Canis lupus familiaris: one gene and its partners. The protein of the gene in region 3 purifies or fractionates together with the protein of the main gene of each other region. This does not show direct contact. Links are inferred from orthologs where the notes say so. Each region holds a gene or a part of one and is shown on either strand. Other genes may lie near its edges.

The links.
Region 1: the proteins of NSF (region 3) and SCFD1 purify together in Homo sapiens (affinity purification with mass spectrometry; 3 studies listed by BioGRID and IntAct, with this or other methods). This does not show direct contact. The link is inferred for Canis lupus familiaris from reciprocal best matches to the Homo sapiens genes NSF and SCFD1.
Region 2: the proteins of NSF (region 3) and NAPG purify together in Homo sapiens (affinity purification with mass spectrometry; 3 studies listed by BioGRID and IntAct, with this or other methods). This does not show direct contact. The link is inferred for Canis lupus familiaris from reciprocal best matches to the Homo sapiens genes NSF and NAPG.

What each region holds. Positions count from the first base shown.
Region 1 is NC_049229.1:10,106,529-10,110,931, reverse strand, and holds the start of SCFD1 (sec1 family domain-containing protein 1), read right to left. Parts: upstream 2,931-4,403; 5' UTR 2,865-2,930; coding exon 2,807-2,864; intron 1-2,806. UniProt on the Homo sapiens protein: Plays a role in SNARE-pin assembly and Golgi-to-ER retrograde transport via its interaction with COG4. Involved in vesicular transport between the endoplasmic reticulum and the Golgi.
Region 2 is NC_049228.1:76,506,770-76,509,455, forward strand, and holds part of NAPG (gamma-soluble NSF attachment protein), read left to right. Parts: intron 1-421; coding exon 422-501; intron 502-1,058; coding exon 1,059-1,188; intron 1,189-2,145; coding exon of another isoform or gene 2,146-2,219; coding exon 2,220-2,360; 3' UTR 2,361-2,686. UniProt on the Homo sapiens protein: Required for vesicular transport between the endoplasmic reticulum and the Golgi apparatus.
Region 3 is NC_049230.1:16,840,068-16,843,722, forward strand, and holds part of NSF (vesicle-fusing ATPase), read right to left. Parts: intron 2,555-3,655; coding exon 2,398-2,554; intron 429-2,397; coding exon 295-428; intron 1-294.

The DNA of each region.
Region 1 (4,403 bases), on a different chromosome or scaffold from region 3:
AAAAGGTGACAAATATGTATTGACACTTTGGTACTGTGTGAAGAAAAATGAAGAACAAGAATATAAAAGCAAGGAGACTAAATAAGAGGTCACTGCAAAAATTCATAGTATTGTGGACCTGTGTGATAACAGTAACAATAGTCATATTGTGGATATATTTTCAGAGTAGAGCTGATAAGATTTACCCACAGGTCTGATATGGGATATGAAAAAGAGAAGTGAAGAAACCTTAAAAGCTTTGACCTGAGCAACTATCTACAAGGATGGAGTTGACATGGTGATCTAAGCAACTAAGAGTTGATCTAATTGCTTAGATCAAATCTAAGAGTTCAGAGGAACTCTATCCACCCATATCCGCTAATTGGCAACTCTGTCCTAGTATACTAGCATAATATAGCATATGTACATATAGTGCAAATTTCAGGAAGTTATTTTTGTAAATTATTTCCAGGTAAGACAGAAAAAGTAGTACGAAAAATAACCCAGGAATAGGTCTGTGGAAAGGTGTTTCCTTTTAAAAACTGTCTTTGGTTACAGTGTAAGAATTACTGTGGCAACTGATGATAATTTTTAGGCCAAAAGTGTTGTATATTCCAGCCAAATGTTTCAGATTACTTGATAATTACCCAAATATACGGAAAACTAGATCAGTAAGTCAGTGATTGAAAAAAACTATTAAAAATCAAACACTAGCGTAGCCTTCAAAGTAATTCTGCTTGAATGCCTGTGAGTGTCCAGCACTGGAGCTCCCCTGGAGTCCCCGATATTTTGTTACTATATTTTGTTACGATATTTTGGTACTATATTTATAGTACCTAAAGCCAAGAGGCCACATGAGATCACTGCAAGAGAGAAAGCAGTTGATGTGTGGCTTTCCAATGTTGAGAAGTGGGGATGGTGAACAAGAACCACCAAAGAGGAGGCATGCATGAAAGACTACGGTAACAGGACTTTGCCAGTTGAACTAAAGGTGAGAATAAAGAGGGGAGTGTTTCAGGAAAGTTTCACAAACAAGATGACTTTTAAGGTGACCTTTAAAAGACAAATATTCTTCAAGCAGGCAAAGCAAAAAACAGGCATGCTAGTTACCCTCTCTATACCTCAGTTTCCTCATCTACAAAATAATACTGGTAAAATCACTTACAACAATGCCTAGCTATACTAAATGCTCAGTATCAGCTATTCTCTACCCAAATAGATTGCAAATTCCTCTGTATCACAGTGTCCTGTATCTAGAATATTTGAGAATTGATTTTGAGCTACTTCCCAGGATATTCTTATGCATCAGGGAATATGGGGAACATCAGGGAAATGTTTACTTCTGCTACTATAACACATATGGGGTTTTACCTTTCTCTGAAAATAAGAGAACTCAACTAGAGTATCAATTTGATAAATGATTAATGTGGCATCAACTATCTAGTTATAATGTGAAATCTCACTATAATGGTTTATTTTCACAGAAATCAAAATTATACTAGATTTTAATATTCCAAAAAGTTTCTTCATATAAAAATTACTACAAGTTCCATTTTTTTGGAAAGTCTCCTTTGTATTGGTTAAGCTGTCCTTGTTATGTTGTTTTAATATGTAGTATGACCTAGTTCATTGAGCTTCATTAAGCTGTCAGAACCATACTGCAAAGACAAGTGGGGCTTCTATTTGCTTACATATAAAATATGTGGCAGGTATTCCCCAAATCTTACTTAAATTATGCCTAACTTCATCTGATAGCTTATACTAAATGATCTAATGGGAAAAGCAGAACACAATTCCAAATTCACTCTCTGTCGTTACTAGATTAAAGTCTATTAATTTTTTCTCTGAATTCTAAAGGAAGGAATCAAGCACAACCAAAACCCCTCCTGTAAACCATATCAATTGTAACCATTTATTTTCCAATTCAGATTAACATGCAAAAGAACATAATACAAGGGACCATTTACAAATTCTATTAGCTCCTCAGAATGAACAGCTTGCCAACTTCCAGGCCAATTAGCTAGTTGGTTTGGAGCTAACAGGTATAAACCATGTTTATCAGAAGTTTACAAAAAATAAGGAACAACAAAATATCTAAGACGGAAAAAATATCGAAGCTTAAGGGAAAAAATCTGTACTTTTAAAAAACATTTCACTGTACAAATGAAAGCTATATAACTGCTCTATCGAGGATGAAACTAAAAGTTTTAAAATACTAATCTGTCAAACGGTTAAAATGACAAAGCTACTAATCCACTGTTTTTTGGCTATTCTTCAATTCCATTCCAGCGAACTAAAGAAGGAAATCTTTACCACTAGGCATTTCTATTCAGGTACCCCCAAAAGATTGGCCCAAAGAGAAATGGCAGAACGCAAGCTGCTCAGAAAGAATATCTAAATTTTGTAATTGTGGAGGAAGCGTTAAAACGGAAAACTCCCAACATTAAAACTAAATGAACTGAATCCCGCAGAGAAACAAACCCGGAGACTTCATGGGTAGCAACAGAGGGGGAGAAATGCCAGCTGCCGGATCTTTTTGCGATGGCCTTCTAAGGCCCAGTAGAAAAGGGGCAAGAGCAGGGCTGTAGCAAACTGCCCACCTGGAAGCCCCTTCTTCTGAACCACGTAAGAGGGGCCGGGTTCTCAAGCTACCGGCATCTCTTCCCTAAAAACTCAAAAGGGGAGGGGCTCTCGATGCTCTAGGACCTGGAATGAGCCTCTGGAAGGCCGTCTCCAAGCTGCACGCACCGCGACCCAGGCGGGGCGACAGGCAAAGGATGTCCCCACTGCAGGCAGAAAACCGCTGGGAGAAGGGAATAGATCGTACCGGTTTGTCTGTCTCGAATACTCGCCGCTGCAGGCGCCGCCATCTTGACTCCCACCATCCACTGCCCGGTTGGCGAGCACAGCCCGATTACGTGGCTGCCCGACTGCCCCGGAAGCAAAGGCCACGGGGCGGGGCCGAGGGAGGCTCTCGGGGGCCGGATCGCGGCGGCTTCCGCTCTCCCCAGGACTCGGGAGACCCAGGGGATTCACACCCGAGCCCCTCGTGGGGTTTACTTTCCAGCTGGGAACCGGGGTTGTTACCCTAATGAAGAAGCCACAGCTTCCCAAATGGTAGCTGCTTTAAGCCGAACTCTTGGGGAGGAGCGTGGGGTTTGTAATAAATACCAAATTGGTCGTTTTCAGATGTCTTAGATGTTGAGACTGAGCTAGGGGTTTCAGGATCACTGGACTAAAGTAAATGAAGCTCCAGGAACAAAGTAGGCGTTTCAATGCGAGCTCATTTCTGTTTCCCCGAGCAGCAAGAGAAGTCTCCCCTTTGCCCCTCCCCCCCTTTCCGGGAAACAGGCGGTTTTGGAGCATTGCTCTAATCTGGCAGATATTTCAATCTCATCTGTTAGGCAAAATGGTCTAGTTTTATGGTAATGTTTTACCTACATGAACACAGGAGCTAGAAAGGTGCAAATCGGCAAACTGATACCTATTTTCCTTCAAGTAACTGCAAAAATCACCTAACGGGTGTGGGAGGATAGCAGACACAGCTGGTATTCTAATGTACAGGTGAAGCTGTATGATGACAAGACGTATCTGCTATTGATAACTAATTTTAGTTATTTTAATTTAAAAAAGTTTTTCGACTTTATGGAGGTAGAACTGACAAAATTTGGAACGTAAAGTTACGACGTGATGATTTGCTAGATGTATATAACACTTTTGTGAAAAGGTTTCCCCCATGTAGTTAGCACATCCATTACCTCACATATTTATCTTCGTTTTGGTGGAAAACATTTAAAATCTATTAGCAAACTGCAATTATACAATACAGTTATCAACTGTAGTCACCATGTTATATATTAGGTCTCAGACCTTGTATCTTAAAGCTGAAAGAGTTTGTTCCTGCATCAAATGAACTATGTATGTAGGATCTTAAAAAAAAAAAAAAAGTCTAATTCATGAAAACAAAAAAAGTGGCCTCTAGGGACTGATGGGTGGGGAAAAATAGGGAGGTTGATAAAGTTATGAACTTTTACCTTTAAGAATTCTATCCTTGCATTTTTACAGCTAATTGGCATATTCACCAAGAAATTTACTATTGGAATATTTGTTGTTCTTTTCAGTGTTATTTTGATCGAGTATTTTTAAGGAATCACCAATGATCTAGGTGTACTGCAATGAAACAGAAATGACAACTCCTGCCCTAGGGGAAAGTTCTACTTTACTGTCTTCATGGAATGTAAAATATACACTTTCCCATTTTCCAACATCTGAGGGCAGATTCTTGTTCATTTGGGTACTTTCACTTTCAAATGTAAATCAATTAGCTAACCATTTCAGTTCTATCACAAATTTCTTCCCAAAACTATAACTTATATTAATCTAAAACATTAAGCCAATGTTTACCATTTATATACAGCTTCTAT
Region 2 (2,686 bases), on a different chromosome or scaffold from region 3:
AAGTTTTTTTCATTCATTAACCATTTTCCTAGTATTTCTTTAAGAATTCCAAAGTGTTGTGGCATCATGGGTCCCACTTCAAGATTTCCCTTTTCAAGATTAAACCTGTATAGATATTTAAGAGACATTTTCTTTACAGTGTATGGTGGTCGTGTTCTAAGTTGTGTTATTCAGTGTGATCCTCAGACCACCTGGGCTTGCCTTGGACCCCCTAACTCAGCCTTCACGTAACAGAACCCTGAGTAGTTTGAGATGTACCATGGCAGGGCATTTTCCCTCACGTGTCCCGTGGAAGTTACTAAGAATTTATAAATCTCTGTAGGCAAACCAGGACTGTAAAGTTCAATTCTAGACGTCAAGAAATTGACTTTACTAACAAGTTCGGTGTAACTTTGGACCATAATCACCTCTTTTGTTTTAGAAAACAATTGCTCAAGTCTTAGTTCACCTCCACAGAAACGACTACGTGGCTGCAGAGAGGTGTGTCAGGGAGAGCTACAGGTAAGACGCTGGCAGCCCTGTCTTGCAGTGTAGAATTTCTATTTCCCGATGGGAGATCACTGTTTAGACAGCTGTTCTTGGCCAGGAAGCTATTTTTGGTGTTGTAAAAAATTTCATAGTGAAAAAAAATTTTGTAGTGGTAGGTAGACTTACCTGCCAATTCAGCAGTATTTTTTTTTTTTTTTTTTTTTTACAAGTTGTGATCTTTCATGTTTTCCTCCTGGGGATTTCATGGGAGTGAATGACCGGAATGATTTTGTTCCATTTGTCTTCTGAGACAACAACAAAAAGAGTAAAGAAATGTTCTCAGATTGCATGTTACGGGAAGATCATTTCCTGTTGGAGGTAGTTACAGTGAGTGGTCTCAATCTGCGCATGTGTTTGCAAGCCACCCATTTCCCTTGCTCTTCTTGGGCCTGTGCGCTGTGGGATGTCTAGAGTATTCCAGGCCTCTTTCCACCTGTTAACAAAAATGTCTCCAGATATTGCCAAACATCTGGGAGGGGGGCAGAACCCCCTGAGGGCAGGTGGAGGGGTGTGACTCGTGCTTGCTGTAGCATTCCAGGGTTCAGTGGGAGTGAAGACTGTGCTGCCCTGGAACAGCTTCTTGAAGGCTATGACCAACAAGACCAAGACCAAGTATCTGATGTGTGCAACTCGCCACTTTTCAAGTACATGGACAATGATGTAAGTGGCCTTTATTTCTTTTTTCTTGAAAGGTAGAGGTAGAGATTATTTCTCTCCTATGGGCTTGTGAGATTTCCCCCTCTATTTTATACCTCCAGCCACTGCTTACGGAGGAATGTGGCATTGGCACTGAATTTCACTGTATTCTTAGACTGTTTAGATGTCAACCATGTGGGTTTACAGCCTTTTATCTAGCCATCTGATGATGTTGAGTATGTACACTTTTTAATTCGGCTCCATTTCTTGGCCTTTTCTACCACCTTTTGACCTCTGTAAGTTGCTTAGTTTAAGTTTCTTTTAGGCTTCACTTTCTGAAAGAGGCTCATCAGGTAGTGGCCTTTGTAATTTGATACACTTCTCGGAAGCCTACTTCTTTGACAGCTGGTTATGTGATGCTGGTTACTAATGAACTCTGTGAGCCTCCATTAACTCATCCGTAAGAAGGGAGCAGCTGGTCCTTGTCTTGCCAGCCTGTCTTGCAGAATAGATTGGTCTGCATGTGAGAAATGGCCTCACACAGTGCTGTATACAGAACGTGAGCTGTGACTGTGGCTTTCCCTTTTTAGTAGATTTCTGAGCCCAGTTCATTTGATTTGGTATCAGATCAGCTTGAGACCTTTCTTTTTGGTAATGATGTGGATAGAGGACTCCATTTTTTTCCCTAGGTCAAGTCTTATATAGGCTTTTATAAGTTTATTAAGACTTTGTCCCTAGCTTAACTCTTCATTTACTCAACAGATCTTTATTTTGTAGGTACTGCAAGTATTAACTGAGTGTGTCCCAATTATCTCAAATTCCTAAGTGTGGCATATAACTGATGACCAGTTGTATACCTGTCATGTCACGGTCATGAGCCATCTGATGGCAGTGCACTGTTGAATTTTTTGTGGTGGTTTTTACATTTTACTGGTAGTATTGGTTTTCCTGAGGTAGAAAATTAAGATCTCTCTCTTATAGATAGCTACAGTTGACACATGGCATATTGAGATTCCTGTTGTCCAGCTTCTGAGAACATGCTTTGTCATTGACAGTATGCTAAGCTGGGCCTGAGTTTGGTGGTTCCCGGAGGGGGAATCAAGAAGAAACCTGCGGCGCCACAGGCTAAATCTGAAGGTGCCACCGCCCCCACTGCTGAGGAAGACGAAGATGAGTATGCAGGAGGCCTGTGCTAGGATCTTGCTGTGCTGCAGAAAGGAAGAACAAAATCCTGACATGCCATTCATGGACTTGGACCTTGTCTGAGGGGATCCAGATTTCATTGCAGTCATGGCTTTGAAAATGCTACTAGATTCATGTTTAGTCATCATTTCCCTAAGTCACCCATCATACCCACTACCTGAAAACACTTTTTTTTCTTTCCATAGCAGCCTTTCTAAGACACCATAGGAATTAATAGAAAAAAATGTACTATCACATTTTAACACAGTTGATTTTTAATTTGCAAGCTACAAACTGTGTTCTAAACAAAAGGGACAATAGGCATAGAAATTCTTTTCTG
Region 3 (3,655 bases):
CTCCCTCTCCCTCTGCTCCCCACCCCACTTGTGCTCTCATGCACAAATAAATAAAATCTTTTAGGAACCCCATAATTTGGAAGATTAAGCAATGCTAATAAAAATGCATTACAAAATCTACCTAAAATAGTTATTGTTTTACTCAAATTCTACTGATAATTTAGTTCCACTTGAGAATATAGTTGCTGTTGCTTTTACATATATACACGTACAAAGATAGATATACACATACATGTGTACGTGTACACGTATCTAAGAGATAGGAGATTAAAATGAAAGTAAAAATCTTGATACCTTCTTCATGGCCTGACACTTGGCTGTCTCAGAAAAGCCAATCATCTTATCAGGAGAACAGATCTTGATGAAGGGGAAGTTGGATTCCTCTGCAATCTTTGCTGCTAAAGCAGTCTTCCCACTATGAGGAGGGCCTGTGTAAAGATACGCAAGTCAGGGAAAAAAAGCCAACCTAAGCAAAGGGGAATAAAACAAGTTTAAACCTTTATCCACAATGTACTGAGGTCTCAACTAGTTGCTCATTAACATTTCCTGACACAATTTCATAGCAGACATGTTTTCTCTTATTTATTAGCAACTAAACTTAATGAACTGATTAGCATTTCTCAAAGGTATGATGAAATACATTCCTTCTTTCTTTCTCACAGTCTTAATCTTTCAAACTTCTGGCTAAATATATAAAATGCAAGGTTGTTGTTTTTTTTCCCTAAAAAAAAAAAAAAGGAAAGAATGCATACAAATGCATATCTGTAACTCATGTTATTAGTTCCATCAAATCATATGTCTAACAAAAAATATGATCTTCTTAGAAGATGACATTGGGAGCAGGGAAAAAACTGTCTAATAGAAGCAAATGTGTCCTACAAAGCTAAAATTTTAAAGATTTAGGCCTTCTCATAAAGGCAATTGAATCTGTAAAATCAACTGTATTTAAACATCTCCTCCTCTTCCCTTCTGTGAACTGGAAGATGTGTCCCTCTTCCAACCATAAACCAACCAATTTTTCCTTCCCATCTTCTCAGGAACCTGACACTGACTGTATCTTCTTCCCCATATGTTCCATCTCTTCCTCTTCCCTATCACCCTTCCAACAGCATATCAGCATGCTTTAGCCTACCTAACAATTTAATAAACAGAGCAAAAAACTCTGGACTCACACTTCTCAACACCACTCCTTCTTTTACCTTTAAAATGGAACTTCTCTAAATAATTATCTACGCTGGCCACCTTCAGTTTTCATTTTCCCTCCATCCTCAAACAAACCCTATGGCTTCCACTGCCATTACATGGAACAGGCTTTCATCTGGGTCATCAATGACCTCCATGTCACCAAATCCAACAGATACTTTATCTGTTGGCTTCTCAGAAATATTTGATACAATGAACAACTCCTTTAAAAAAAGCAACATACTTTTCTTGACTTCTGTGATAGCGTCTTCTCTTTCTCCCCCTCTTACCTCTCTGGTTACTCTTGCTTAGTGTCCTTTGTCAACTCTTCCTGCTCTACTTGGTTCTTAAATATTGGCATTTGTCTAGCCAATGTCCCTTTCTGTTTCAATCCCCTTCCCACCCAGGCCTTTTTCACACACTGGTCCCTCCACCTCAAACATCTTCCCCAATTACTTTGCTGGGCCAGCTTCTCCTCATCCTTCAGGTCTTGGCTTAATGTGTTTCAGGGAGCCCTCACTCCCAGACTTTGGAAGGAATGAGATTCTGCTGTCATGTGGACTTAACAAACGTTTCTGTTGTACTAATTATAATTGTAAACAAGTAACTAGTGAATAGAATGTCATTGGCCTTTTTGTCTACTTGGTAAAATCCTAACTAATCCTTCAAAATCTAAATTAAACACCACCTTTAGCTTTCTTTGATCATCCCTAGGCAAAATAACTTGCATTCTCACACATCTTTACACATAAATACTGTACTTAAGAATTTGTTTACATGCCTTTGTTTTCATGACCAGACTGAACTCTGTGAATGTCTTTATATCCTTAGCAACTGGTTCAATGCCTAAAATTACTCAATGAATACTTATTTAATTGAATCGAGTACTATGAGGTATCATATAGTCTATTACATAAGATAGTACTCGGTGAATATGTAATTGACTCAGGTACTCTGTGGTAGCAGAAGTAACAGAAATTTAGATACTCTCCCACAAGAAAACTAGTGCTATCATTTATCAACAACATTCTACTCCAAGAAAACTTTAATTTATGCACAATACAAGTACATAGTCTGGATTACTATTTTTAGATAATGAAGAGATTTAGAATGGAAAATAATCCATTTTTCTGGAATATGCTAAATAAAAAACTTTGTAAAAGTGCTTTTTTTTTTTTTTTTTCTCTTACTGCCATCTCTTCATTTTTTTCTCACCTTCCAAAAGGACGCTAACCAGTGGTGTACGGTCACTATTTTTAGTCTGTTGAACCAGCAGCTCCCCATCTTCCAGAACTCGAGTAACTGGATCACCCCATTTGATAATACCATTCATAATGTAACTTGCATAATCCTCTTGGTTTGTGCCAAATGCCTATGGAGGAAAAGGATAATTTAAACCATTTTGGTTGTTAGTATAAAAACTAAAACACTTAAAAGTATAAAAGATGAGTAATAATTCCTACACACTAAAAGTGTTGAGCAATATCCTTATTAATGTAAAAAGTTTGAAAAGCAAATAAAAGCAAAAACAAAATACCCATTACTTTATAATTCTTATTTAACCTTTACCCAGTAGTGAGTGGGGTATGGGGTGTGGGGAGTGGTGACTTAGGGTGACTTTGCATGATTTAGGAGAATAAAACAGATTCTTGGGTCAGATTCTACAAGAGCCTAAACCCTTGTAATCCCTGAGAAAGGGTAGTTCCAATGCGCTTGTTTCTGTAAGGAGTACACTAGTTGTGGCCTTCTATTAAGAACAAAGAGAAAAAGAGGTTATAGACTTAGAAATTAGAATCAGTTAGCTCAGCAGACAGAAATACTATCTTCACAATGACTGTAGGTGTCTCAGATTAAAATGGGAAATGAAGTGGTAATGAGAGGATCTTGTCCATATCAGCTTGGTGGTGGGGGACATATGCTAAATGGCACCAAGGTAAGCCTAGTTGTGTAAATATAAGAGTTAGAATGAGGTAGAAAGGAGTAGCTATAGTAAAAGACTAAAGTATGAGAAAAAGGAAATAAAAGCAATACTATATATAATAATCTTATGTGTGCTCGCTACATATTAGAGCTTAAATCACATCCCTCTTCATTTTCAACTTCTACTTTCACATTGTAACTCCCATCAAGCCAGTTGCCAATAGGAGTCAGTAACATTAGTATTTAGTGACTTAAGTGAATTGTGTTTTCTTAAGGTTGACAAGTGAAGAAATGAGTAGGAACACATAACCCTACTCATTTCATAATCTAGGGATCACATATCTTGAGAATTTCAAATTTTAAAAAACTATCACATCCCTCAAAAAGTCAATTTTTCATCTCCCAACTTATGGAATGATTTTAACATTAGAACTTGTGGCCCAGGGACGCCTGGATGGCTCAGTGGTTGAGCGTCTGCCTTTGGTTCAGATTGTGATCTGCGGTCCTGGGATTAAGTCCTGCATCAGGCTCCTCAAAGGGAACCTGCTTCTCT